Canis lupus familiaris: one gene and its partners. The protein of the gene in region 1 purifies or fractionates together with the protein of each later gene. This does not show direct contact. Links are inferred from orthologs where the notes say so. Each region holds a gene or a part of one and is shown on either strand. Other genes may lie near its edges. The genes, in order: TNKS1BP1, CAPZB, CNOT6L, CNOT6, CNOT11, CNOT10 and FHL2.

What was found.
Region 2: the proteins of TNKS1BP1 (region 1) and CAPZB purify together in Homo sapiens (co-immunoprecipitation; 5 studies listed by BioGRID and IntAct, with this or other methods). This does not show direct contact. The link is inferred for Canis lupus familiaris from reciprocal best matches to the Homo sapiens genes TNKS1BP1 and CAPZB.
Region 3: the proteins of TNKS1BP1 (region 1) and CNOT6L purify together in Homo sapiens (affinity purification with mass spectrometry; 4 studies listed by BioGRID and IntAct, with this or other methods). This does not show direct contact. The link is inferred for Canis lupus familiaris from reciprocal best matches to the Homo sapiens genes TNKS1BP1 and CNOT6L.
Region 4: the proteins of TNKS1BP1 (region 1) and CNOT6 purify together in Homo sapiens (affinity purification with mass spectrometry; 3 studies listed by BioGRID and IntAct, with this or other methods). This does not show direct contact. The link is inferred for Canis lupus familiaris from reciprocal best matches to the Homo sapiens genes TNKS1BP1 and CNOT6.
Region 5: the proteins of TNKS1BP1 (region 1) and CNOT11 purify together in Homo sapiens (affinity purification with mass spectrometry; 5 studies listed by BioGRID and IntAct, counting the BioPlex papers as one, with this or other methods). This does not show direct contact. The link is inferred for Canis lupus familiaris from reciprocal best matches to the Homo sapiens genes TNKS1BP1 and CNOT11.
Region 6: the proteins of TNKS1BP1 (region 1) and CNOT10 purify together in Homo sapiens (affinity purification with mass spectrometry; 4 studies listed by BioGRID and IntAct, with this or other methods). This does not show direct contact. The link is inferred for Canis lupus familiaris from reciprocal best matches to the Homo sapiens genes TNKS1BP1 and CNOT10.
Region 7: the proteins of TNKS1BP1 (region 1) and FHL2 purify together in Homo sapiens (affinity purification with mass spectrometry; 3 studies listed by BioGRID and IntAct, with this or other methods). This does not show direct contact. The link is inferred for Canis lupus familiaris from reciprocal best matches to the Homo sapiens genes TNKS1BP1 and FHL2.

Annotation. Positions count from the first base shown.
Region 1 is NC_049239.1:39,301,867-39,305,366, forward strand, and holds part of TNKS1BP1 (182 kDa tankyrase-1-binding protein), read left to right. Parts: intron 1-969; coding exon 970-1,336; intron 1,337-1,570; coding exon 1,571-1,721; intron 1,722-1,816; coding exon 1,817-1,953; intron 1,954-2,710; coding exon 2,711-2,868; intron 2,869-2,962; coding exon 2,963-3,023; 3' UTR 3,024-3,035; intron 3,036-3,500.
Region 2 is NC_049223.1:78,732,647-78,736,146, forward strand, and holds part of CAPZB (F-actin-capping protein subunit beta), read left to right. Parts: exon of another isoform or gene 1-16; intron 17-3,189; coding exon 3,190-3,311; intron 3,312-3,500. UniProt on the Homo sapiens protein: F-actin-capping proteins bind in a Ca(2+)-independent manner to the fast growing ends of actin filaments (barbed end) thereby blocking the exchange of subunits at these ends.
Region 3 is NC_049253.1:37,892,126-37,896,371, reverse strand, and holds the start of CNOT6L (CCR4-NOT transcription complex subunit 6-like), read right to left. Parts: upstream 2,801-4,246; 5' UTR 2,683-2,800; coding exon 2,678-2,682; intron 2,637-2,677; exon of another isoform or gene 2,618-2,636; intron 2,605-2,617; exon of another isoform or gene 2,577-2,604; intron 1,700-2,576; exon of another isoform or gene 1,678-1,699; intron 1-1,677. UniProt on the Homo sapiens protein: Has 3'-5' poly(A) exoribonuclease activity for synthetic poly(A) RNA substrate.
Region 4 is NC_049232.1:1,473,355-1,476,854, forward strand, and holds part of CNOT6 (CCR4-NOT transcription complex subunit 6), read right to left. Parts: intron 3,038-3,500; coding exon 2,835-3,037; intron 451-2,834; coding exon 238-450; 3' UTR 1-237. UniProt on the Homo sapiens protein: Poly(A) nuclease with 3'-5' RNase activity.
Region 5 is NC_049231.1:42,709,913-42,712,674, forward strand, and holds part of CNOT11 (CCR4-NOT transcription complex subunit 11), read right to left. Parts: intron 1,597-2,762; coding exon 1,394-1,596; intron 538-1,393; coding exon 335-537; intron 1-334. UniProt on the Homo sapiens protein: Component of the CCR4-NOT complex which is one of the major cellular mRNA deadenylases and is linked to various cellular processes including bulk mRNA degradation, miRNA-mediated repression, translational repression during translational initiation and general transcription regulation.
Region 6 is NC_049244.1:4,229,022-4,232,521, forward strand, and holds part of CNOT10 (CCR4-NOT transcription complex subunit 10), read right to left. Parts: coding exon 3,418-3,500; intron 1,174-3,417; coding exon 1,031-1,173; intron 203-1,030; coding exon 116-202; intron 1-115. UniProt on the Homo sapiens protein: Component of the CCR4-NOT complex which is one of the major cellular mRNA deadenylases and is linked to various cellular processes including bulk mRNA degradation, miRNA-mediated repression, translational repression during translational initiation and general transcription regulation.
Region 7 is NC_049231.1:39,049,603-39,053,576, reverse strand, and holds the start of FHL2 (four and a half LIM domains protein 2), read right to left. Parts: upstream 2,801-3,974; 5' UTR 2,660-2,800; intron 2,365-2,659; exon of another isoform or gene 1,270-2,364; intron 1-1,269. UniProt on the Homo sapiens protein: May function as a molecular transmitter linking various signaling pathways to transcriptional regulation. Negatively regulates the transcriptional repressor E4F1 and may function in cell growth.

The DNA of each region.
Region 1 (3,500 bases):
ATTTCAGGGGGTGGCAGCTGGCCCACACACCAGCTCCTTGTGTGAGGTATGTGAGTAAGCGTGTGTGCTGAGCCGGGTGTGTCTGTCGTGTTTTGAGGGAGCGGCGGGCCGAAGATGCACAGGCCGTATTGAGGTGCAAGGTGATCTAGCCTGTCAGTGGATGGCGAACATTTGCTAAATCCTCCTCCTGGCTGGGCCGAGCCCAGGTACCAGGGTCACAAAGGCCAAAGGGGCCGCCTTTGCCCTTGAGTGGTTCCCAGATGGGCTCTGAGGCAGGGGCTGGTGCAGGTGGGGGCCCCAGGCTCGCAGGGCTCAGGAAGGGGGGCTGTGGCTGGGGGTGGAGAGGGGCCAGCCTCAGAAGAGGAATGGACCCGTGACCGGGAGAGGAGCGCAGGGCAGTGGGGGAGCCTTCCAGGCCAGGGAACAGCTTGTGCACATACACCGCAGTCTGCAAAGACGGTGATGTGTTTGGGGGAGTCCCTGGACGTTCTGTGAGGCTGGGGTGCAGGGAGGGATGCTGCAGGGGCCAGTGCCTGGCTCGTCCCAGGGAGAGTGACCACCCAAGCAGCTGCCCCTATGAGGAGCACATGGACAGCAGTAATGATTGTGGTCAGTGCTGGGGACACGCTGGGTGCCAGGCACTGTGCTTTGTGCTGTGGTTCCCATTTCAGTCCCCAGCAACTCTTGGGAGTTAGAGGGTCCTGAGGCCTTGATGGGTGGAGGGACCTGTCCACAGCCTCAGTAAGTGGCGGACCTGGGATTTGAACCAGGCTGCCCACCTTGCCCGCTCTGTGCTGTACTGTTTGAGGCCCCGACCGTGTCCTTTCGGAAGGAAGGTGTCTGGGAAAGCATGGAGAGGCAGGAGAGGGAGAGCCTGTTGGAGGGGGGCACAATACTGGGAAGTGGGCTTTGGGGGAGGAAGATGGGGCCTCATGGGTGACCTTGTCCTCTGGTCTGTCTCCTTTGCAGTCCTGCCGGCTGCCCGGCCCGCTCCCCGCCCTCTGGCTCCCAGAGCCTGCTGGAGGACATGCTGGCCACCAGCAACTCCAGGGCGGCAGCCCGCAAGGGGTCAGCAGCCTCGGGCCCCAGGGGCCTGTTGGAGGAGGACGGAGCCACAGTGGGTGCCGACACAGGGGAGCCCCTCGAGCCTAGCGGGGCCCCTCTGCTTTCCTGGAGGCCGCAGCCTGATGGTGAGGCCAGCCAGACGGAAGAGGTGGACGGCACCTGGAGCCCTTCAGGGGTCGGGCAGGGCGCCCAGGGCCCCACACGGCCCCCTCGGCGGCCCCCTCAGGGCCCTCCGCCCCGCTCTCCCAGTCAGGACTTCTCCTTCATTGAGGTCAGTGCAGGGTGAGCCCAGGGCAGTGGTTGGGCTGTCGGGGGGCACATGGGCGATGTGGCCCGAGGCTGGTCCCTAGGGCTTCCCTGAGTGGCGTCAGCCCCCGGGGAGGGGGGGCAGGAGGCGGGCAGTGGGTGACCCTCTGAACGGGGCGCTGTAGGCTGCTGGAGGGATGCGCTGTTGAGGGTTCCCGTGGGACCGCAATGGCAGTGGTGTTGCTGTTGTCCCGACCAGGACACCGAGATCCTCGACAGCGCCATGTACCGGAGCCGAGCCAACCTGGGGCGCAAGCGTGGGCACCGGGCCCCGGCCATTCGGCCCGGGGGCACCCTGGGCCTCTCGGAGGCAGCCGACTCGGACGCACGCCTGTTCCAGGACTCTACGGGTAGGCCCCTGTCTGGTGGGGTGACGTCTGGGTCTGCGTGGGGGCGGTGCTCCGGGCTCGCCGTCGCGCTGAACCCCCGCTCTGGGCCCTTGCAGAGCCACGGGCTTCTCGGGTGCCATCCTCAGACGAGGAGGTGGTGGAGGAGCCTCAGAACCGCCGGACACGGATGTCCCTGGGCACCAAGGGGCTGAAAGTCAACCTGTTTCCTGGCCTGAGCCCGTCAGCCCTGAAGGTAGTGTCTTAATCGGCCAGCGCATCCAGCCCCTCCGGCCCCTAGCCCCCGAGTGCCTGCCTGGGGTTTCTTCTGTCCGTCCATCCATCCGTCCTTCCCTCCCTCCCATTCTCCTGTCTTCTGCTCCCCCTGAGGGCCCTGTTGGGTCCCGAGTGGGATGGGAGGAAGAACAAGGCATTCCTTCCCGTCCCAGAGTCCCAGAACCTCACAAGGCGAGGAGGACACACGCCCTGTCTCCTGTTAGCTCTGGTGAAGGGCCGAGCTGCAGGTGTGGGGTTGGGGATGTACAGATAAGGGCTGGGCCTCTTCTGGGGGTGGGGGCGGAGGGTCGGGGTGAGGTGTGACTTCTTCTGACCCACCGACCTGCCTGCTGGATGGGAGGGTGTATGGGGAAGGGCTCGTGGAAGTGCCGGATCTTAGCTTGAGGCGTGTGTAGAGCTGGCTGTGGAGGGCAGGGTGATGGGGAGGAGTTCGAGGTTCCCGAGGCAGAGGGAACCCGATGAACGGAGGCACAGGGCTCGGGAGGCACTGCCGGCTTCGCTTCATCCAGCCCAATTGTCTGGATTCAGTGGAGCAGAACCTTCACGAGGACCTTCCGTGCAGGGTGTGGCTCAGGCGACTTCCCGTCCCTCTGGGTTGAAGGACTGCAAAGGGGTCTGTGCCTAATTCTGGGGACGGCTCCTAAGAGAAGGCCTTGCCCTCTGAATCACCCTGCTCCTTCCTCTGACATCTGTCTGCACTTGGGCTCATCTCACAGGCCAAGCTGCGCCCCCGGAACCGCTCAGCTGAGGAGGGGGAGTCTGCGGAGAACAAGCCAAGCCAGAAGGAGTCCGCGGTGCAGCGTTCCAAGTCTTGCAAGGTCCCCGGGCTGGGGAAGCCCCTTGCGTTACCTCCCAAGCCAGAGAAATCCTCAGGGTAGGTGACCTCAACTGGCCTCGCTGGGTGGGCCAGAATTAACCGTGTTTATGTCCTAAGGTTTGCCTAATGACCTTTGCCCTGTGCCATCTAGGTCAGAAGGATCATCACCCAACTGGCTACAAGCCCTGAAGCTGAAGAAGAAGAAGGTCTGAGAAGTCCTCGAGGTAAGTGTGGGTTCCTGGGCTTGGCAAGACCTGCACGGGAGGGTTCAGGAGGCCCCCTGCCTTCTTCTAGGCCTTTCTGTCCCTCTTCTCTGTGAGCCTGGCAGCAGCCCAGGGGAGCCTAGCTCTAGGACCTGGTGGGTCCCTTGGTTCCCCTTAGATTTTGCCCACAGAATCCAGTGTTGTCCGGCCTGGGATGATGGGGAGGAGGGCTGCATCCTGGCTTCCTCTCTGGGCTCAAGGATGGTCCCCACGGGCCCCCAACCCCGTGCCCCAACCCTTCCTCCCTGGGCTCAAGGATGGTCCCCACGGGCCCCCAACCCCGTGGCTGGCCCAAGTGGGGTCAGCCTGCCCTTCTGGTATTTATTAGGCTCAAGGGCCCCAGGTGGGACCCTCCTCACCACGAGGCTCAGCTGGGGGAGCCAGGATGGGCAAGGGACAGGAAGCCAGAGCTGAAGTGGCTCCTCT
Region 2 (3,500 bases), on another chromosome or scaffold:
AAATGTAGGACTTTAATTAAAATGCCAGCTCTCTTTGTCTAGGGCTTTCCCACTACCTCGCGATTCATATTTGGGGAATGTCTGGTTGGAACTACAAAGTGAAGCGGGTCCTTGTGTCCATCAGAGTTCAGTTCTTGACGGCAAACTCTTGATAAAGATCCTTACTGCACACCAATTTATTAACTTCAAAACAAAGCCAGTAGGTGTTCTGGAGGCTCCATGTGGTAAAATTCCTCCCTCCCATCCAAATACACCCGGCCCTCACTATCACCAAGCACGGCTGCCATAGGTGCTGGGAGTACAGGCCTGAACAAGGTGAAGTCCCCACCCTGGCAAAGTCTGCATTCTAAGGAGGGGAGACAGACAACAAATAAATCAGTAGACGTGTTAGCAAGAAATTACTGAAATACTTGTAATTCGTGGATTAACCTTTTGATCAGTGGTGCAGCTGAGCCTATTTTATACTGAATCCCGTTATCTTGTAAGCTTTCCTATGTGGGGGGCCGGTGGGGAAGGGGAGACAGCTTGGCTCCAGGCAGAACTGGGGATCAGAACCGGATGCTCAAAGGTCTGTTTTTATGCAGTGCCTGAAGCAGTGTGGTGAATTCAGGTGGGACCCAGTTTGACGTTGCCCTCAAAGAAGCACGTACAGCAGACAATGCTGAGTACAGAGGAGGGAGGGTGGCATGTGGGTGTTCGATGCTAGCGTGTGTGCCCTCCCCCTCGTTGGGCACTGGACTGAATGCCCAATGCAGGTCTTTTGTGATACCCCAAATCACGGTGAATAGGTTTTGCTATCCCCACATTACAGATAAGGAAATCAGGTCTTCATAGAGAAGTGAAAATGACTTGCCCAGGGTCCTAAGGGTGGTAAGTGGTAGAGTCAGGAAGTCACACTTCAGAGCCTGTTTGCTTAGCCTCTGCCACAGTCCAGGATGAATCGGGCCCCAACCATTTCAAATGGGGTTTGAAGCAGAAGTCAGGGCCCAACAGGGAAGCTAAGGCAACACTCAACAGAACAAACGGTGGTGCAAAGGGCTTGTGGTGACCAGCTGCCACATAGGTGCTCAGGACCATCCGCAGGAAAGCAAGCGATTTTCCAATCCCAGCTGCCTTGGATGGAAGCTGTTCCTTGCCTTGGCCAGGACTTCTTTCCAGGCTCTGTGGCCGTTGGTTGTTGAGCAGGGAGGTTATTTGCCGCCTTGGATGGGAGGGGGTTACTTGCTGCCACAGTGTGCCTTTGGCATGCACTGTCCCTGCTCTCAGTTGTCTGTTGAATCAGAGTTAGTCAGAGGGGGAGATTTCAGCCTCCCCTGCTTGCTTCCTGTGTAAGCCTTGGGCAGCTTAAGGACTCTGGTCCTCAACTGTCTAGTCTTTACAGACAGATGTCTGTAATGGGCATGAAGCTGCCTGCTTTACAGGAGGAGAGTGAGCTCTCAAGTGCAGTCTGCCAAGTATATGTAAAGGCCTCGCCTAATCCCTGGTACCTGGCAGACACTTGGATGTGCTAGGGGTTTGATGTGTGTGTGTGTGTGTGTGTGTGTGTTTTAAGATTTTATTTATTTATGCATGAGAGACACACACACAGAGAGAGAGAGAGAGGGGGGCAGAGACACAGGCAGAGGGAGAAGCAGGCTCCATGCCGGAAGCCTGACATGGGACTCAATCCCGGGTCTCCAGGATCAGGCCCTGGGCTGAAGTCGGCGCTAAACTGCTGAGCCACCCGGGCTGCCCGGGGTTTGATATTCTCATCACGAAAACTAACCTTGAAAATAGCCTCATTTGGGGCCCTTAGCTGGCTCAGTCGGTAGCACGTGTGACTCTCGATCTAGGGTTGTAAGTTTGAGCCCCATCTTCAGTGTAGAGATTACTTAAAAAATAAAATCACAAAAGACAGAAATAGCTGTGGGGGGGGGGGGGGTGTGGAGGACACGGGTGGCCGTTGCAGATTGCGCCGGAGGTTAGTGGTGTGGACATCTCTCACAGGCTAGAGGACCGGCAGTGGTCCATGTAGAGGAAACCGATGGTTTCACTGAGGCCAGAGTTTATGCGAGACGAGGTGACCATCTTCCAGTTGTGGCAGCCAGGGCCGTGTGAGCTGCTCCGAAGCACCTGGGGGGCTGGCAGAGGGGCCCAAAGAAAGCAGCCCCCGGAGGCTGGGTGGTCTCCGAGGGGGCGGTCCCCATGTCCTCACCTTCCTGGAGGCGGTCGGGGTCTTCCAGCCGGTGGTCTGCCCCCCCGCCGAGCGGCTCTTCTGGGTATCTTTGCCACATGACTTAACTTTTCCATTTGGAAGGGCTGTTGGTGCAGTTGGCAGCCACCATCCTGGTAAACGATATGGTGGGGCCTCCGTAAACCCAGGGCCATGAAACGAATAAGTCAGCACATTGAAAATATAGCGTGGAAGTGACTCAAGCCCGAAGGAATCCGTTTCTGAAAGTGCTGCCATCCCTTCCTGGAATATTTTGGTGGAAATGGATGTTTGAATTAGGAGGAGGCGGCCTGGTTGCTGGTGGGGCCCTGTGTCCGGTTGGGCAGGATTTGCGCTGGGAATCCGCCCCGCCTGGCCAGGCCCCGGGGCCCTCCTCCTCAGTGACGCGGCTCCGTGTGGGTCCGAGATAAGCCCGCTGGAGCTCGGCTCTGCGCGAAGCTAGTGTGAAGCACCTTTGCAGCAGGTAGGGTTGACTCTGCGAGCCAACCTGGTAATGCTTGGCCAGGGGCCTGGAAAGTATTGGAAACTCCACCCCGCACGGGAGCCGGTGGGAGTTCTCGAGCACGGTCGGGTTATTCTCAGAGTTCTTTGGATTCCTATGTATTTCAAATGTTTACCTTCTTCTCAGGACATGAGCTTGTACTTTGCCCACCAGAGACCAATACCAAGCACATACGTACTTAAACGTACCAGACCACCCTGGCGACCAGGTAATTAAAGCTGCACGCAGATTTGGAAGGAAGGCTGTGTTGGAAATCACGCTCCGCTGTAATTCAAGAACAGGTTTCTTTATGGAGGGACACAGTTGGTGTCAGACACATGTGGAAAAGAAAAGAACAGGCCCATGATTCTGGCAGAGTACCAAGGGCCAGATGTTAAATGTGCTGACCATGATGTGGCTCCGGTTGCCATTAGCCAACCTGGATTCGACGTGTTGTTTTAACCCCTGGCTCTGCCTTTTCCTTCCTTCGCGCCAGGTCCCCAGTCTGTGTGAAGATCTCCTGTCTTCTGTTGACCAGCCCCTGAAAATCGCCAGAGACAAGGTGGTGGGAAAGGATTACCTTTTGTGTGACTACAACAGAGATGGGGACTCGTACAGGTGAGCTGCCAGGCCGGGGCCAGGCGCAGTCCCTGTCGCCTGGGACCACTGAAGTCCGGCCGTCCTTCTGTCTGTCTGTCCTCCCTATCTCCCTCCCCACTTCCCTTCCTCCCATCCTTCCTTCCGTCCAGTCCAGCAGTAGACGTTTGTGGAGTGCCTCCAGTAGAAGCGTTGGAGACTCGGCATGGA
Region 3 (4,246 bases), on another chromosome or scaffold:
GTCTTTTTTTTTTAAGCTTACCATTGCTGATATAAATAAAAATAAGGCCTAATTTGGAAACCTGGCTTTAGTAAATGGACATACTACAAACTTAACCCAATGAAACTCCTCACATTCTCTTCATCCTGCCTTCACCAAAATAATTTTTAAAAAGATAGAAAAGAAAAAAAAATCCTTCTTTAACCTTTCCATTGCCTTTACCTTAAACTCTGTATCATCATTTTTTTTTCTCCACCACAATTAAAAATAAATGAACAGCACATTCACTACTCCACAGAGAGTAATAAAAATGGAAAACTATTCAAAGTTGATTGAGGATTTTTCCCTAAACCATCCAAGAATGTATTCCAAGAAGTTTTTGTTTACCAAATCAGTCAACATGAACTCAAAGAATTACATAGCAATTTTTTGGCACTTATGCTTTATGAATCTGTTAAAGTAATCTAAACTCTCGTTTCTTGATCCATTTTAATGCTTGATTGTATTGGAATGTATATGTGCTATATACAGTACAATTTTTTCCAGGACTACATAGCCAGAATCATAAAAGTAGTAAAACTGAGAGATGGCCTATTCAAAAATACAGAGGAAAAAAAGTATGACTAGACAGTCTCTATAAACTAATATACTAGGCCACTTTAATGACAGTCTTATTTCTAGGAAAGACATAAAAAACATTAAAAGTTTATATATACCTTATATATTATCAAAGGACTCTGAAATGTTCTACTGCCTTGATTTTTAACCTACAATTACACAATATTGCTCTCAGTTATCAAATGGGTATTTGTCCTTACACATGTTTTTCAATGCCCACAATCAGGGCTGCGGGAGGAATATTTAACTAAGCCTCTACTATGTGCCAAACATGTTTTTTCATTCCACCCTCAGGACAACCTTACTATAAAGGTATCTCCTCGTTACAAATGGAAAAAAAAAAAAAAAAAAAAAACAGAGACTTACAGACATTCGGTAACTTGCTAAGGTCAAACAGCTAAGAAAAATGGCACAGCCAGAGTTCTGAGGTAAAACAAGTCCTTTTTCCACTCAACTACACATGTTGTTTTTCCAGCAGTGGTCCCAGAAAACAGCTCTCCACTCCTATTCTTCCCTCCACTCTTGTTCCCAGTGCACGGCCTGGAACATTTGTGAGACCAGTTTTAGAAACAGGGCTACCCGGCCATCATACAGAGCATGGTCTGCAAGGATCAAATCTGTATCAGGACTTCATCCACAGGGTCTCAGCTAGATGAGCTTACGAAATGCAAACGGAAGGAGGGCGGAGTAAAGCAAATAAATCATTCAAATACCATTTATATTTGGGTCTACAACGCACTGCACACCTATTGGCAGATTTATCTTCATAGTTCCGCTTTGCTTAGACCACTCTCAAAAATAGCTTCCCCGGAGCACACACACACCCTGGGTAGACAACATAAAGGCTCCTTGACCTAGGTTTTGGAGATTGTGCATGAGACGTGTTTGTTTGTACGTGACTATCCTGATCGGCAATATAGATAAGTAGAAGCAGTAAGGCAGTAAAATGTAATACTGTGCTTCCAACGTGTACAAACGGCTCAGCTAAACTCCCTGAACACAATCCATCTCAACAGCCTAAGATAACTAGGCCGAGTTAGGGACGATGACAGCTACAGTAACTTCCTCTTCCTCACCAACCTCCTCAGTTCCGCGTGTGCACGCCTTTCCCCTAGGAGGCAGGATAAAACGATTTCAAACGCACAAAATCGATCCAATGCCACCAACACCGCAGGACAGGAAAGCCAGCTTCCATTTCTTCCCTCGCGTCTCGGGGGGGGAAAAAAAAAAAAATTTATCTTAAAAATCGCACTCATGTCCCCCACGAGAAAATATGTGCGACGAAAACTGAAAACGTGTACACAGTCCGTCCACCGGGCCTTCGCGGAGGGACGGGGCGAAGGGATCTCCATCCGCAGCCAGTGTTCCCGAGATTCACCGCTCTGAGTCTCTTTCCCTCGGGTCCCGCCGCCCGGAGGGGCAGAGCCTGCAGCTCCAGAGCCAAAATAAGCCTTCGCCTCTCTCCTCAGCAGACGCGGAGGCGGCCGAGGCGACGGCGGTGCGCGCGTCCCGCCTCCGACCCTCCTCACCTGCCCAGGCCCGAGGCAGCGCCCCGGGTGCTCGCGGGCCGGGGCGTCCGGGAGGCGTCCGGGAGGCGTCCGGGAGGCGTCCGGGAGGCGGGCGGGCGGGCGCCGAGGCGGTTAGGCCGCGCTGCAGGCCGGCGCGCTTCCTGCCGGGCCCGGGAGCAGCGGCGCGGCCCCGACCCGCAGCTCAGCCGGCCTGGGCTGCCGCGCGCGGGCGGCGCACACACTCGCGTCCCCGGTCCGGCCCGGCCCGGTCGGGGCCCGCCGCGGCCGAGCAGCTTCACCCGCGCGGCGCCCACAGAGGGGGGAGGGGAACGGGGGGGCGGGGGAGGGGCGCCCCTCGGGGGTCCCGGACACACGGAACCCGCCCCGCACCCCGGGGCCGCCAGCGCCGGCCCCACACACGCCCACTGGCCCCGGGTCCCCGGGCCGCCTCCCCGCCCGCCACAGCCTCACCTCGCACAGCCTCACGCACGCTCGTCGCTCTCCCACCTCACCTCCCGGGGACGCTTCCGTGTCCCCCACATCGACCCTCCTCCGAGGCGCAGACACTCTACCTCATTCTCTTCCTCCGGCCCAGGCGGAGCAACAGCAGCCATTTCCCCGCGGCAGGGGAGACACGGCGGCGCGCGCGCCCGGCCCCACAGATGCTTCCCTCCGGGCCGCGGCCGCAGACGCAAACACAAACACCCACGGGCGGGCCTCGCTCCCGCCCGCCCCGCCGCGCCGCGCCGCGCAGCGCCGCCGCCGCCACCGGCAGGGCCCGCGCCCCCCCTCACCTGCATTCAGCGCGCCGGGGTCCGGGCGGCGGCGGCGGCGGCGGCGGCGGGGCGGCTGCTGCTGGTGCTGGGGCTGCGGCGGCGGGGGAGGCGGCGGCGGCGGTGGCGGCGGGGCTGAGGGCAGCAAAGACATGCAGGCAGCCCGCCGGGGGGAGAGGCACCGGCCGGAGGGGACGCGGGGCGGGCGGGCCGGGCCGGGCCGCCTGAGGGACGGCAGGGGCGGCGGCGGAGAGGGCGGCCGACGGGAGCGGGCAGGCGGGCGGGGGGCGGGGGGCGGGACGGTGACCCCGGGCGCCCAGGAGAGGCCCCGCGGCCGCGGCCCCCGACGCGACGGCCCAGCGCCGCAGCGAGCTCCCTCCCACGCCGCGGCTGCTACTCCGAGGGCGGCGCGGAGCCCGGCCTTGGCCTTGGCCTCCGGGCGCCGGGGCTGCTGCCGCCGCGGGGCTTGCTGCTGCGCCTGCCGCTGCCGGGCCCGAGGCTGCCGCCGCCGCCGCTCGGGGACGCCAGGCTCCGGTGCCTTCGGTGCCTTCGCTCCCGCTCCCACGTTCACAACCCCGAGGGCCGGGGAGAGGCGTCCGCGCGAGGTCGGAATTGGGATTAATAACAAGGTGCGGAGAGTGCGAGGAGGAGGAGGAGGAGGAGGAGGAGGAGGAGGAGGAGGAGGAGGGTTGATTGACGTGGAGGGGCTGGCGGCGCTCAGACACTCCCCTGCGCGAGCGCGAGCGGGAGCGCGAGCGGGAGGGGGAGGGGAGAGGAGGGAGGGAGGGAGGGAGGGGAGGGGAGGGGCGGGGCGGGGAGGGGGCGGAGCTCCAGCGCCGCGCCTCGGCCCCGCCCCCCGGTCCCCGGTCCCCGGTCCCGCCGCGGGCCGTGGCGCGCCTGCGCGCGTGGCTGCCAGGGCGCTCACCCGTCTTCTCCTTTGCCCTTATCGCTTTTTTACTCTCTTTTCTTGGCTCGAGCGGCCGGCGGAGCTGGGGGGACTGGCGGGGCGTCACACGTCCACGTCCACAGAGCCATGCTGCGGAGGAGGCCGGCGAACCCTCCTCACCCGGTGTTCCTGCCGGACGCGGCGCCGTTTGCCGCTCGCAGGCCTGAGGCGGCCTGAGCGGGAAGCGCTGCTCGGGAGCTAACGAGACGTCAGGTGAGGGGAGGTGAGGTGAGGGGAGGGGAGGTGAGGTGAGGTGAAGTGACGGAAGGAGAAGGTTTCCTGACATCTCCGATGGGGCGTTTTTGTTGGTTGGTTGGTTGGTTGGTTGGTTGGTTGGTTGGTTCAACGCAAAACACCTGGAAGTTGTGTCGCGAAAGGTAAACTGAGGAACCTCTGACGCTCCGCCATCATCCCCGTCCTAC
Region 4 (3,500 bases), on another chromosome or scaffold:
ACACACCAATCCCTGTCTAACAGTATATAAAGCATATTGGGCTCAGAATTTGTCTGTTGCTAGCACCTGGCTTTCATACTATATCCTTATCAAATAATCAAGATTGAAAATTCAAATCATCAAGGAAAAGGAAAAAAAAGAAAAAAAAATGACAACCCTGGTGGCCATACCTCACTCCCCTATATTCAGATTTTGAGTTTAAAAGTGAAATTGAGGTCGTCCTCTGAAGGTACTTGACTACCTCCTGCCAGGAAGGTGAATGCCATTAACTTGGGGCAGGAAAGGCAGTAAGAGCTCCAGTTGTGCAAAAAGTGAGAAGTGGTCGGAGGGGATGAGTGGGTGTGGGCAGCCGCTGATATTATTCTCAACTAGCCAATGGTGGTCCAGAGGTCCTAGGATGCCTAAAGTGTTCAGCTGAGGTTTAGAATAGAAGATGTAGTCAATTATACCCTGAAAAACAGAAGGAAAAAAAGATGAGGGTTTATATAAGATAATACTGAAACACGAGAGCTCTCAAGACATACCCTGCAGTCATCTTGGGTAAACAGAGAAAGTGATTAGCACATGGGAAGAGGTACTACACAAACCAAACGGTCCCCCAGGTGTCAAATCCAGCAGAATGAAGACAGTTTAGGGATGATTATCATTCATTCTTCCTCTTTTCTGCACCTTTTCACAATCTTTTTTTTTTTTTTTTAATTTATGATAGTCACACAGAGAGAGAAAGAGGCAGAGACATAGGCAGAGGGAGAAGCAGGCTCCATGCACCGGGAGCCTGATGTGGGACTCGATCCCGGATCTCCAGGATCGCGCCCTGGGCCAAAGGCAGGCGCTAAACCGCTGCGCCACCCAGGGATCCCCGCCTTTTCACAATCTTTAATGAGACCTACAAGTCCTTCATGGTATGGCCTCGGCATCTCTCTCTTTTAAAAGATTTTATTTATTTGAAAGAGAGAGGCAGTGACGGAGAGAGAGAGAGAGAAAGAGAACGAGTGAGAAGAGGAAAGGGAGAAGCAGTCTCCCCGTTGAGCAGGGAACTCCCTCCATCCCAGGACCCTGGGATTCATGACCTGAGCCAAAGGCAGACATTAAACTGAGCCACCCAGAAACCCCCTGGCTTCTTTCCTAACTTGATTTGTACTATTTTCCCATGCTTACTACCCTATTAGCATGCTAGCCATTTTTTTAGGGTGGGGAGAAGGACATTCCTTGTAGGTATCAAGCTCCATCCTGCCCCAAGGCATCCACACACGCTGTGCCCTCTGTCTGGAACACTTTCTTCTATGTGTCATTTGGCTAATTTCTTCTCAGCCTTCATGTGGAGTTCAAACACTTTCAAAAGTCCTTCCTGAATCTTGCCCTCATGCACTCACTACTTGCCAGCACCTCTAAGTCTCTTTTCTTGCTCATGCACTCCCCAAGGTATAACTACACATTCACTTGTACTGTGGAGACGGGTCTCTCCCACCAGACTGTGAGCTCCACAAGGGCCGGGACATCTTGCCCTGTCTGTTCCCAGCAGCACCCAGGCCCAGCATTGGGCACCCAGCTGACCACCTCTCAGTTTGCCCCTCTCCTCCTTGTAAAACTTCAGCCTCTCCTAGACATGCTTTCAGCTAAAAATATTTAAGCACATTCGAGTATCTTCCTTTTATTTCTGTTATCAGCAACAGGAACAGAAAGAAAACAAAATCCCTAATGTCTCCCACCATTTGGTCATCATCACTCCTCCCCTCTTTTTCAATCACTCTGCTTCAAATAAGAATCTCAAAGTTGGTTTTTACTACCTCATTGCCCAGTAATATCCTTCACTTCGCCACATTCTAGTCTTCTTGCCTACCCCTCCAGTGAAGCCTCCCTCACCAACAGCTCTTTGAAGCTTACATAATGCTTCTTTTTCCCTAGAAAAGGCCTTCTTGTCTTGGCAGTTAGGCTCCTACACTGTCCTGGATCTCCTCCTCCCTCTGGTTACTCTTCTGTCATTTATTGTTCATTTTCCCCAGAGTCTGCTCCAGCCTCTCTTCACCTCCACGCACTTATCTGTTAAATTATCTAAGGGTTAAATTATCTACAGTACTATGGCTCCTCCAAAGTCCAATAAAAAAAGTTTCAAGTTCTTCCACAGTTTCTCAAAGAAGTCTAAAAGCCCTTAACAGCAAAATTAAGAACCAGTTAACAGTAGTATTTAACACTCTAACACACAATCTAACCTGAATGATGATTTTCCCAGGAGTTTAGAAATGGAAAACTAAGATTTAAGAGCAGAAATGCAAAAAATGGTTAAAAAGAACAGATGAATGCAAGTCCTAAGCAACCAATGATATTAAAAATGAGGAGAAGCACTAAGGCAAGGCTCTACATTGTAAGCTTAATTAACTGTGTGTGAAGGCATATAAATAAATATAAATTATATTATTAAATGGCTAATATAAACCACATTTTGGCACTCAAAGAGTAGTTTCAGTTAAAATATGAGAGATGAAATATGTCACTCCAATGGACACCAAATTAGATACTATGGTACTTTCTGAATAGCTGTTAAGTAATGAACATTATTATAACATAATTGTCCCCAAACAGTGACAGTTAAACTCAGGATTTATTATCATTATTTCATCTGATTTCTTACCCTGACTCTAATAGGTACCTACCAAGTAGGAATGGGACACCAATCACACAGAATTCCACAGAAGAATAATAAGAGAATACTGCTGTCAACTAATTCAACATGGTTTACTTCTAGTCTGAACACACATCAACATTTCAAAGACATAATAAAGTTACAAGACTCTCCAAAAAATGGAGGTTTGAAAAGTTTCTCAATCTCAAGTCACCTTGAAATCGAACGTGTAATTTGTGTAAGGCATCAGGCCACTCTCATAGGCACTCTTTAACTTGAAACCATGAGTGATCCTTCCATTGGTTGTCCCGTTTTTCCCATTACAGCTGAAATTTGTAAGACTTTCATTGTATCTCAGTTCTTTAAAGTCTTTATGATTTGTTTCTACTCCACCAGTGCTCAAATATTCTACAACACCTATAATGAAAACACAGGTATTTTGAAAACTGTCAAGTATAATATGCAGTGTACAAAACTAAAAAAATATAATAGTAAATACTTTGTGCCACACAGTCCCCCTTTCTAAAATGTCTTGTTTTTTGGTCTGTTTTTTTTTTTTTTTTTCCCACATTTCCCAGAACTTATCTAAATCTATTTTTACACGGTTTTGATCCTAGTATACTGAATATTTTATACTTTGCTGTGGTGTTTCATAGTTGTTATAGTAGTTCCTTATTTTTTAAAAAATTCCTGTGGTTTTACTTTTTAAAAAGAATTAACTCCATAATCAACATCTTAGTATCTAGGTTTCTACCTATGTTGAATTATTTACTTGGTATGAAATACCAAGATTATGATTAAATGTGGTGTTATACATATTACCAACAATGGAAGAGAATGCTACCAGCTAGATGGGCTCTGCAAATAGTTATTCTACTTT
Region 5 (2,762 bases), on another chromosome or scaffold:
GTGAAGTATACTTTCAAAAAGCAGGTAACCAGTTTTGCCAGTGACAGAAAGTAAGGTTGAAAAGACCACTCTCCTGTACACATACTTGTGATCACCCAGCTTCCAGCCAGGCGAAGCCAGGCTTTTTCTCACTGGCTGGTAAGCTTAAATGGACATGGTCTTTAGCAAAATTTCAAGAAGGTTTAAAAAAAAAATCCCTGCCTTAAAGTCTGTTGCAAGTTTTTCCCTTCTGGCCAGTTAGCGTCTATATTATACCCCACATACACACACACACACACACACACACACACACACACACACACACACACACATCTGATTGAGTATAAACACTTACCGATTTACAACTTCCATTGAATGCAAGGACATGTCCATGTTGACCAGGACTGAAAAATACTCCGTGATCTGGCTTGACTGCATTAACTTCAGTAGCATTTCTATAGCAACTAGGGGGTTGTTTTCCACTAGGTCAGGAAGTTTGGCTGGAGTCAGGCCAATATGATAAACGAGTTTGGGGTCTTTTTCCAACTCACCCAGGAGCTAAATACAATCAAATTTTTAAAAAAAGAGGTTTTTGAGTCAAAAAAAATTGTCTGCATTGAACCAACTTCATAAATTTCTTCCTTCAAACCCATTATTATAATCATGTCTTGAACTGCAAAGACTATTTACAAATATGCTAATGATCTCTCCTCCTGGGCATTAAGCCAAACTTGGTATTGTCTGGTTGGATATAATGTCTGGATTATATAACAATATCATCCTTAACTCCTTTGTAGACCTTTTCTGTCCTCGGCTAGAACCAAAAAATAATTTAGTTGCCAACCAGCTCTCCAGAAAAGCACACACCACAGAGAACTGAGGAATAGGAGAAACAAGAGTACAGCCCCAGGTGGAGAACAAATGCTTGAGGAGAGAAGCAGGAAGGGAAGAGGGAGAGCTGCCCTGTTGCAGTCCCTCACTTTGCAGGATGATGCAGTTCAGGTCCTACTCAACTATGTAATTCAAATAGTTCTCTTCAAAAACATAAGTGCTTTTTCTTCAAAATTCTCCACACTTCCTCCCTACTGGCAAATACCACAGTGAACTGTTTCAGGAATGGCCTAGCAAACAAAGTGAACTACAAACACTGTAATCACAGGATCAAAAGTGAGATCTATCCTACCCCTCCTCTCCTAGAGTCAAAATCGTTCAAATAAGAGTTGATACATGTTGAATTATCAGTCTTTCCCCACCAGAGTAAAATGACTAGAACTGGAGAAGCAGAACAAAGATTCAGAGATCCAAGACTCCTTGGATGTAAAACCCTTCCTACTGCTGACTTCTGTTGACAGGGTCATTTAATTGGCCACTTAATGTGGAGGACTAAAGATAAGAAATGCTTATAAATAAATACCTGTGTTTGTTGAGGAGACGATAAGGGGCTTTTGAAGGCTTTGGCCATTATTCGCTTGATCTCCACACCAGTGCTATTCTTGACACACATTGATTTGTCCCATTGAATCGTATGGTCAGGCTCTGTTGGATTCAGCCAAGCCAGCTCATCCTCACAAATGTGGAGTGGAGGTGGTGGACGAATAAACTCTGGGCGGAAATGGCCTTTAATGAGAACAGGAATATTTGTTTCATTTAGTAAGCTAACATCTATACACATCTTTATAAAGGTAACATGATAAAACGCTCAAGACTTCAAAATCCAAGGCAGAGATGATTTAGAAATTCAGGGTTTTATTCAGAATACCAACAAAACGAAATATCAATAGAACATCATTATGCTAGACAGCAAATCTATTTTTCAAGAGAGAAAGGCACTACCATGATCTGGCAATTTTTAATTAAAGCATGATCACCACTCAGAAGCAAAGGATACAACTTCACATACTGGTAAAAGTTCTTATGGGAAAAATGAAATGCTATTTGATTCTGTTCATCCTACTCTTGGTTACCATTATTTTTATTCAGAGACCACTATTATTTGTAACTTTTTTCTTTGCATTTCATGAAATGGCAGGAAACAGAAAAGTATAGCTGCCTTTTGACATTTTCAAATGAATCCAGAGACTTTCATAAATCCCCTAATTCAAAAATCCTGTACTCCTGTTCATAAAACTATACAAGAAAATGCAGTGACTCAATACTTCAACTATTTTCTGAAACAGCATTGATTCCTAAGTTTAAAAACCCACTAAAATAAATACTGGCTGGGATTTTTATACCTCATTTTGGTTTCCACACAGGGCCCTAAGGTGGCCTATTCCAATCATGGATCCTAGCCCATGCCAAATTTGAGACTAGTTTATTGAGGTTTTCTAGCTAAGAATCATCAGTTTATCTTGAAATATCCTCTCTCTCATTTTTATCACCAGGACTAGCATCTCAATCTCTTTTCAGAGTATTTATAAAAAGATAAAAATTTTGACATTTTATGAGAAGTACTACTACTGTGATAAAGGAAACATTTCCGTGAAGTACAGATGCCTCATGTTAGCTAGATTCAGTATCTAATTGATTGGGGTTTTCACATACCTTTCTGGTGGCTCATGCAACAAAAGTTGTGCTTAAACAAATGTTAAATAAAAATCAGCATGTGCCATGGGCTTTCAGGCATACCTGTGACTGGATGAGACCTCAGTTATTAAGCCCATTTATGCCAAAGATGTGTTAATGGCATTAAAGTCATGTAAGTTTAAAATTCATGGTAACACTGTAATTTGGAGAACATTTTCCTTATTCTTAAGCATAAAGCATGCCTTCATCATTAAAAC
Region 6 (3,500 bases), on another chromosome or scaffold:
CAAACATACATGCCTCAAATTATTTACTTCTTCCAACGATTTATCACATTCTTTATCATTCATAACTATTAGTAAATATACATGATAATAAAATCTCTCTTAGAGTGTATGCTACCTGATGTATCTTTGATTTTGCAGCTTCTATTAGGGCTCCACTTTCAGCTTTATGATTAAATCCGTCTTTGTTGGTGTTATTACCAGTCTGTAGTGGTAAAACAAAGTTAACCAAAATTAAATATATATATATTTTTACCATTAAATATATATATTTTTTACCATAATTTAAATCAGTAATTTCCAAGGAAGCTAATCTGAATCATCTAGAAAGCATTTTCGAACTACAGAATCCCAGGTCTCACTCTCAGAGATTCAGGTATAATAGTCTGGAATGGGTAACAGGAAACTTACTTTGTTTTGTTTTGTTTGGAGGAAACTACTTTTGAGAAGCTCCCATTGAATATAATGATACGCCAGGTTTAAAAAGCATGGATCGTACTCAGGCAAAACTCAAGATTATCTTTCTGAAACCCAGAACGGATCATGTTCCCTTTTTTGTCTTTTTTAACCTTTTGAAGTCCACGTTTTTCTTTTTTAAAGATTTGTATTTATGTATTTGAGAGAGAGAGAGAGAGAGAGAGAGAGAGAGAGAGAAAAGAGTGGGCTAGGGTCAGAGGGAGAGGAAGAAGCAGATTCTCCACTGAGCAGGGAGCCTGACACAGGCGAGGCTCAACCCAGGACCCTGGGATAATGACCTGAGCTGAAGATAGACACTTAACTGAGCCACCCAGGCGCCCCATGTCAGTCCCTTCTTAAAAACTTTCTCTGGTATAAACACTACCAACATCATATGCTGGATTCCTAGTTATCCTTCGCAATGTCTCTTAGCCACTTTCAAGTATGTAATCCTATGGTATTATTAACAATATTGACCATTTTGTATAGTGAATTATATTTCAATAAAGCTGTTAAAATATTTAATAACCCCAAATATTAACCATAAACTTTAATCTGATCACCTCAGAACACTTACCTCATTTTTTCCATTTTTGTTATTGTTACCCTGTGATATCATTTTTTCTAGGACAGCAAGAAGATGCAAAGCTTTCTCAGCTTGATAGGTTAATATATAAAGGTCTACAAGCAAAAAACACACCGCCTGGGCAAATTTTTCTTCTGGGGGGAAAGAAACAGGAAAAGAAAAGTTATAATCCAAAGTGAAGCAAACATACCAGACCACTCCTCCCCAAAAAGTTCTAAAGAGCAAAGACTAAGTTTTGTTTATGTTTTTTAAGATTTTACTTATTTATTTGAGAGACAGAGAGAGAGGGAGAGCATAAGCCGGGGAAGAGGTAGATGGAGAGAGGCAGACTCCCCACTGAACAGGAGCCTGGTTTGGTACGGTGCTCTATCCCAGGGCCCTGGGATCATGACCTGTGCCAAAGGCTTAACTCACTGAGCCACTCAGGCGCCCCCTAAGAAAAATGGATTTGAATTCTAGGGGATCCCTGGGTGGCTCAGTGGTTTAGCTCCCATGTCGGGCTCCCGGTGCATGGAGCCTGCTTCTCCCTCTGCCTATGTCTCTGCCTCTCTCTCTCTCTCTCTCTGTGACTATCATAAAAAAAAAAAATAAAAATAAAAAAATTGAATTCTATCTAGTTGGTTGCTATATTCTTTTTTTTTTTTTAATTTTTTATTTTTTTTTTATGATAGTCACAGAGAGAGAGAGAGGCAGAGACACAGGCAGAGGGAGAAGCAGGCTCCATGCACCGGGAGCCTGATGTGGGATTCGATCCTGGGTCTCCAGGATCGCGCCCTGGGCCAAAGGCAGGCGCTAAACCGCTGCGCCACCCAGGGATCCCTAGTTGGTTGCTATATTCTATACTCAGCCACAATATAGATTAATAGGATTTGATGAATTGTTTCAGAAATCCTAAAGACCAGCTTTGTAGGGGGACCCAGCTGGCTCAGTTGGTAGAGTATGTGACTTTGATCTCAGGGTCATAAATTCAAGCCCCTCTTAGGCGTAGAGATTACTTTAAAAACAAAAAAACCAACAAAACCCCCAGCTATATAGAAAAACACATCTGTGTCATCCTAGAAGTAGAATTCTGATTTCTAGCTTCATAGAGAAAGGTCACAATTTATACCATCTTCACCACTGGTATTTCTCCTGCCCAATCTGCCCAGCCACCACACCCACAGTACAGAAGAGGAGTATCTTAAAAATGCCTCCCTAGATCCATAGTAAGCAGCTGTTCAACCAGTTGACAGCAAAGGCGATCCTGTAACTCTTCTAAAGCCCCACAGAGGTGCCATCACACTCTACCTCTTCTCCTGTGGGGACTGATCAGCAATCAGGTATTTATAAATCAGGAACTGGCATTAGTGTTTTAAATGCAAAAGAAAGTAATGTAAGAAAAAGACAAAAATGTGAATCACAACTGAAATCTGACTGATTGTGAGTTGAAAACAAACAGCCCTAACAACCATTTCCTGAGTCAGGCTTTGCTACTTTATTTGCTCCCTCTTTGTTCCTTTGCCTTCACCTTTCTTATTATACTTACTCAAGGCTAGTAACTGCAAGCTAATTAAGATATAAAAAAATGCTAAGATAGTCTGTACTATCTATTCTATAATTCTATAATTACCCACAAAAATGTCAGTGAGGCAATGGACAAAAAAAAAAAAAAAATTGTCCCTTAATATCTCCGAATACTTCTTAATATATTGCCCAAGTAACAAGATTGGGTACACTAGGTAGTGTAAAAAGAGCAAACAAAAATCACTAAATCTTTCCAATCAGAAACATCATTTTTTTAAAGATTTTATTTATTTATTTACAAGAGATAGAGAGAGAGGCAGAGTCATAGGCAGAGGAAGAAGCAGGCTCCATGCAGAGAGCCCGATGTGAGACTCGATCCTGGGACTCTGGGATCATGCCCTGAGCCAAAGGCAGTCACTCAACTGCTGAGCCACCCAGGCATCCCAAGAGACATCATTTCTAACAGTTGTTTTTAAAAATAGAGTGAGGAGGAAATGCTGAAAGAAAACCTAGGTTCATCTAAAAGTAATGTCATTTTTATCTTTTCTATTAAGAAAATCTGACATAGCTTTTTTCTTTTTTCATAAATAGTAACAAGTAATTCCCTGATTTAGGTTAATTAGGTAAAAGTACCAGAGGCCATTGCAAGTATGAGAAGATACAGAATTCTTTTTTTATAGTGGGAGAGGGGCAGAGGAAGAGATAGAATCCCAAGCAGGTTCCATGCCCACCCAACTTAGGCTTGATCTCACAACTCTGAGATCAAGACCTGGGCTGAGATCAAGAGTCAGGCTCAGTCAGACTTAACTGACTGAGCCACCCAGGTCCCCTGAAAATAGGGAAATTTTCAACGGAAAAATTTTGACAGAACATACCAAAAGGTTCTATGAACTGGTAAAGCTTTTCACCAACTGCTATCGCTTCTGTGTACTGCCGCAGATGATAAAGAATGACTGCC
Region 7 (3,974 bases), on another chromosome or scaffold:
ACTATTCAGTGGGTTGCATTAGTAGTGTAGAAATTAGCATATTGCTCATTAGCTCCTGCAGGGAGCCTGCTTCTCCCTCTGCCTGTGTCTCTGCCTCTCTGTCTCTCATGAATAAATAAATAAAATCTTAAAAAACCCAACTAGTTATATCCTGATAAAATTGCTTATCTAAAGCTTAATTTATGTTTTTTTTTTAAGTTTCCATCATTCTAATTCCCCATCATTATAAGTATTTGAATATTCTGGCTAAATGAAAGAAATCACAATGTCATATAAAGATAACTAATTTCAAAGAAATAAAGTTTGAATGCTTGGTGAAAGGACATTGATCATAAATTTAACAAAAAGCAGATTACCAAATGACCTGATGATATATTTTTTTCTTAATTAGAAGTTATAGTTCTCCATATAATTTATTGTTTTCAGATGCATCCTAAAATACATCAATGTGGAGTGGTATATAGTGAGAATTTCCCCCCCCCACCTTTTTTTTTTTTTATTTTATTTATTCATGAGAGACACAGAGAGAGAGGCAGGGATACAGGCAGAGGTAGAAGCAGGCTCCATGCAAGGAGCCCAATGTGGGACTTGGGATTCTGGGATCACACCATGAGCCAAAGGCAGACGCTCAACCACTGAGCCACCCAGGCGTTCTTTCCTTCCCTCTCTTGTAAAGCTAGTGTTAAATTAGTGGCTCATCTCAAAATCAAAGACTTCTTAGAATCAAGAAATAGGATAAACAATAAATGTAGTAAGACCACACATAATTTTTCATTTTCTTCTCTCTGCTGGTCTGTATTTTCTGGCATATATTTGTACAGTAAGATACAATGAAAGAAAATATAAACACTATGAATATAATTTCACCTCTTTCTTTGGTGGTGTTAAAAACAGGACAACAGGCCCCAAATGGAGTCACTTATATTAAGCTCCACGTCACCAAACACACCTAACCTAAGTACAATTTTGGCCTCTTCCAGTAATGGAATTTTAAAGCAGTCAGAACTCACCTGATGAGCATTAGTTAGGTCATCTGCCTGATAGAGCCCTGTCATCCTCTAAAGGAAAGTAATGTTGGAATAAACAGTCCACTTTTTTTGTCCCATGTACCTTCCTAGTTCCTGTTCCCTTCTGTCTGTAAAGGTCTTCAGTTTTGTACACACTGCACAGCCCTTTTCTGTCTGCTGGGTGGGATACTGCCCAATTGATGAATCATTGAGTAAAACCAATAAGATCTTTATAATTTATTTGGTTGAAAAAAATTTTTTTTGACGGTGGGGAGAGGACAATTTAAACTCAGTTTCTTGGCCATCTATTTTAAATCTGAAGTATTTTAGACACCAGTAGACTATGTAGGTCCCTGTGTTAAGAGCTATCAGATTACAGAGAGAAATATGACGTGGCCTAGCCTCAGGATCTGGAACCAATGGAGAACTCCAGAAGCACTAAGTGGGATGAAGAAATCTAATAGTGCAAAATGCATTCAAAAACAGGCAAGATTGAGTGAGCAGTCAGGGAATATTTTAGGGGAAACTATGCAACTCTTCATGAAGGTTATACATTGAAGCATTTTCTTAATATCAGAAAAGGCCTCGAAAATGTAATTGTGTGAGTTGAGTAGCTGGCTACTGCTTTAAAGACAAAAACTCTCCTAAGATTGGATGGATCTCAAAATGTAATAGGTTTGATTACAGCACATCATGTTATAAACCTAGCAATAAAACAAAATTCAAATAGCATTCCTCAAGAAACAAATAAATAAAATAAAACCAGAACAAACCTATATAGAGCAAGTCCATGATAAAATAACATCAGCCAATAACGCAAGTGTTAATACTATCTTTTGACCTCAGAATTATTTTTAAAAAATGGCCTGGTAATATCTCTTTTTATTGGATTAGACCTGATAAGGTGCCTTGCATGGAGTATGACTAGAGGATGTTAACATGTATGACACCTATTATCAGAATATGCCATCTTATCAGTGTTAACATTATTACACAATTGGCCCAAGCATTACTCAATACTGTGCATTTGCTCACATCCTGCTCTAGAAATTAGTAAATTAGTAAAATGTGAATGCATTTCCTTTAAGCACACAACAGCTATCTGTACTTTGGAACCGTCAGCCGTAACAAGTCATCTTGTATAAACATACTTTCCCAGCCTAATCAGACTCCTCAGTAATTTGCCTCCTCACCCCAGGCCATCCGGAAATTCTGTCAAGGAGAAAAAGCTCCAGGGCACTGTGGTTTCCCCCCTCCCAATGTTTATTTTATACTTTTTTTTTTTTTCTTTTTTCTTTTACAAAAAGCTTCCTGGTGTTCAAAACTCCGTGTAGTTCCTGTTTCCCCGTCTGAGAGGGTAAGATGAACGGAGGGTTCCCTCCGTGTTCTTTCTACTCCCGGAGGCACCTGCCGTGGGTTTGGAGCAGCGGCCAGGGCCAGGTTCTGTTCCTTCCCCACAGCCCCGCAGCCCCGGGCAGGAGCTGGCTGCAGGCGGGGGCCCGCTGCCAGGCCACTGGGGCTGGGTTTGGGGTCTGCAGGTGCACAGTGCCAGAGAGCTCCCTCCCGGGGCAGGAGGCCGCACAGCTGGCAGCGAAGCCTGGGAGGACACAGGGCACAGGGAAGGAAGGGGCCCCGGGGAGGAGGAAGCTTACCTGTCCTGTCGTCTGCCCTCGGCGAGCCCAGGGGCCAGTGGGGAGGCAGGGCCCACGCTCGTGGGCTGCTCCTGCAACTGTGTGTGCAGCTGCTGGCCAGCTGCCGCCTCGTGTCAGCAGGGCTATAAATAAGGTGCTGTCCAGAGCCCAGAGATAAGAACCCAGCCCCTCGCTCCCGCGAGCCTTTTAAGGTATCCAAATTAAAGGAGCCTCGGCCCCCAGATGGGAAGGGGTGCCAGCTCCCCATTTGGCCTGCCCACCTCAAGGACACCCTGGGCCTTGCACACAGTCCAGCAACCCAAGGAGGAGTGAGAGGGGAAAGCCGAGCGCTGGGAGGGATCTCGCTTGGTCAGACAAGTGGTGGAGTCCCTGGGGGGCTGCAGGGGCTCGGATGCTGGGAGACCCCCCCACCCCGAGATCAGGGCCGGCGCTGTGGTACAGAAGGGGGAGGAAAGTCATCCAGGCCACACAGTGCCCTGGGGTGTGCTGTGGGTTGTCAGCGCTGCCTCTTGCTAGGAGCACACGGACCCTCTTCCCTGGCTTCAGGGGTATTGGTTTGGGTGAAAAAGATTCTAGGGGAGATTCTAAGGGATCGGCTTCATGCTGGGCACGTGGGAGGCCGGGAATGCAGTCTCCTTATAAAGGCCCTCTCTCCCCATTCCCACCCCCCACTCATGCATGATTGGGGGGATTCTTGGGCCACAAATCATTTTCTTTATAGAGCTAATGCAGAAATCTTATGGAGCTTTTTTATTTTTATTTTTTAAGATTTTATTTATTTATTCATGAGAGACACAGAAAGAGAGGCAGAGACACAAGCAGAGGGAGAAGCAGGCTCCCTGCAGGGAGCCCAATGTGGGACTCAGTCTGGGATCCCAGGATCATGCCCTGAGCCAAAGGCACCCAACCACTGAGCCACCCAGGGCTTTTAAAAAAACCATATGCTAGAAGAGGTCAGAGAGGACTAATCTGGGGTAGCAATAATTCCTGATTCACCCCTAAATTTCTTAATTCTGGGAGGCTTTTCAGCCATGGCTGGGGTCAGGTGAAGGACAACTGAGGTCAGCTGTTTGGCAGCAGCTGTCTGCCATATGACAGACATTCCACATCTGGGAATTTATCCTAAGGAAAGGATCGTGGATGTCAGCAGAGATACAGCTCCAGGGACATTTCTTGCAGGTTTTTTAATAATTGGGGAAAGTTGGAAACAACCAAAATGACTAACAACCGAGACTGGTAAAATGAGGAATAGTATAGCCATGAAGGAAACACTGCAACCTTTGGAAATGTCATAGAAGAATATTTAATAACATAG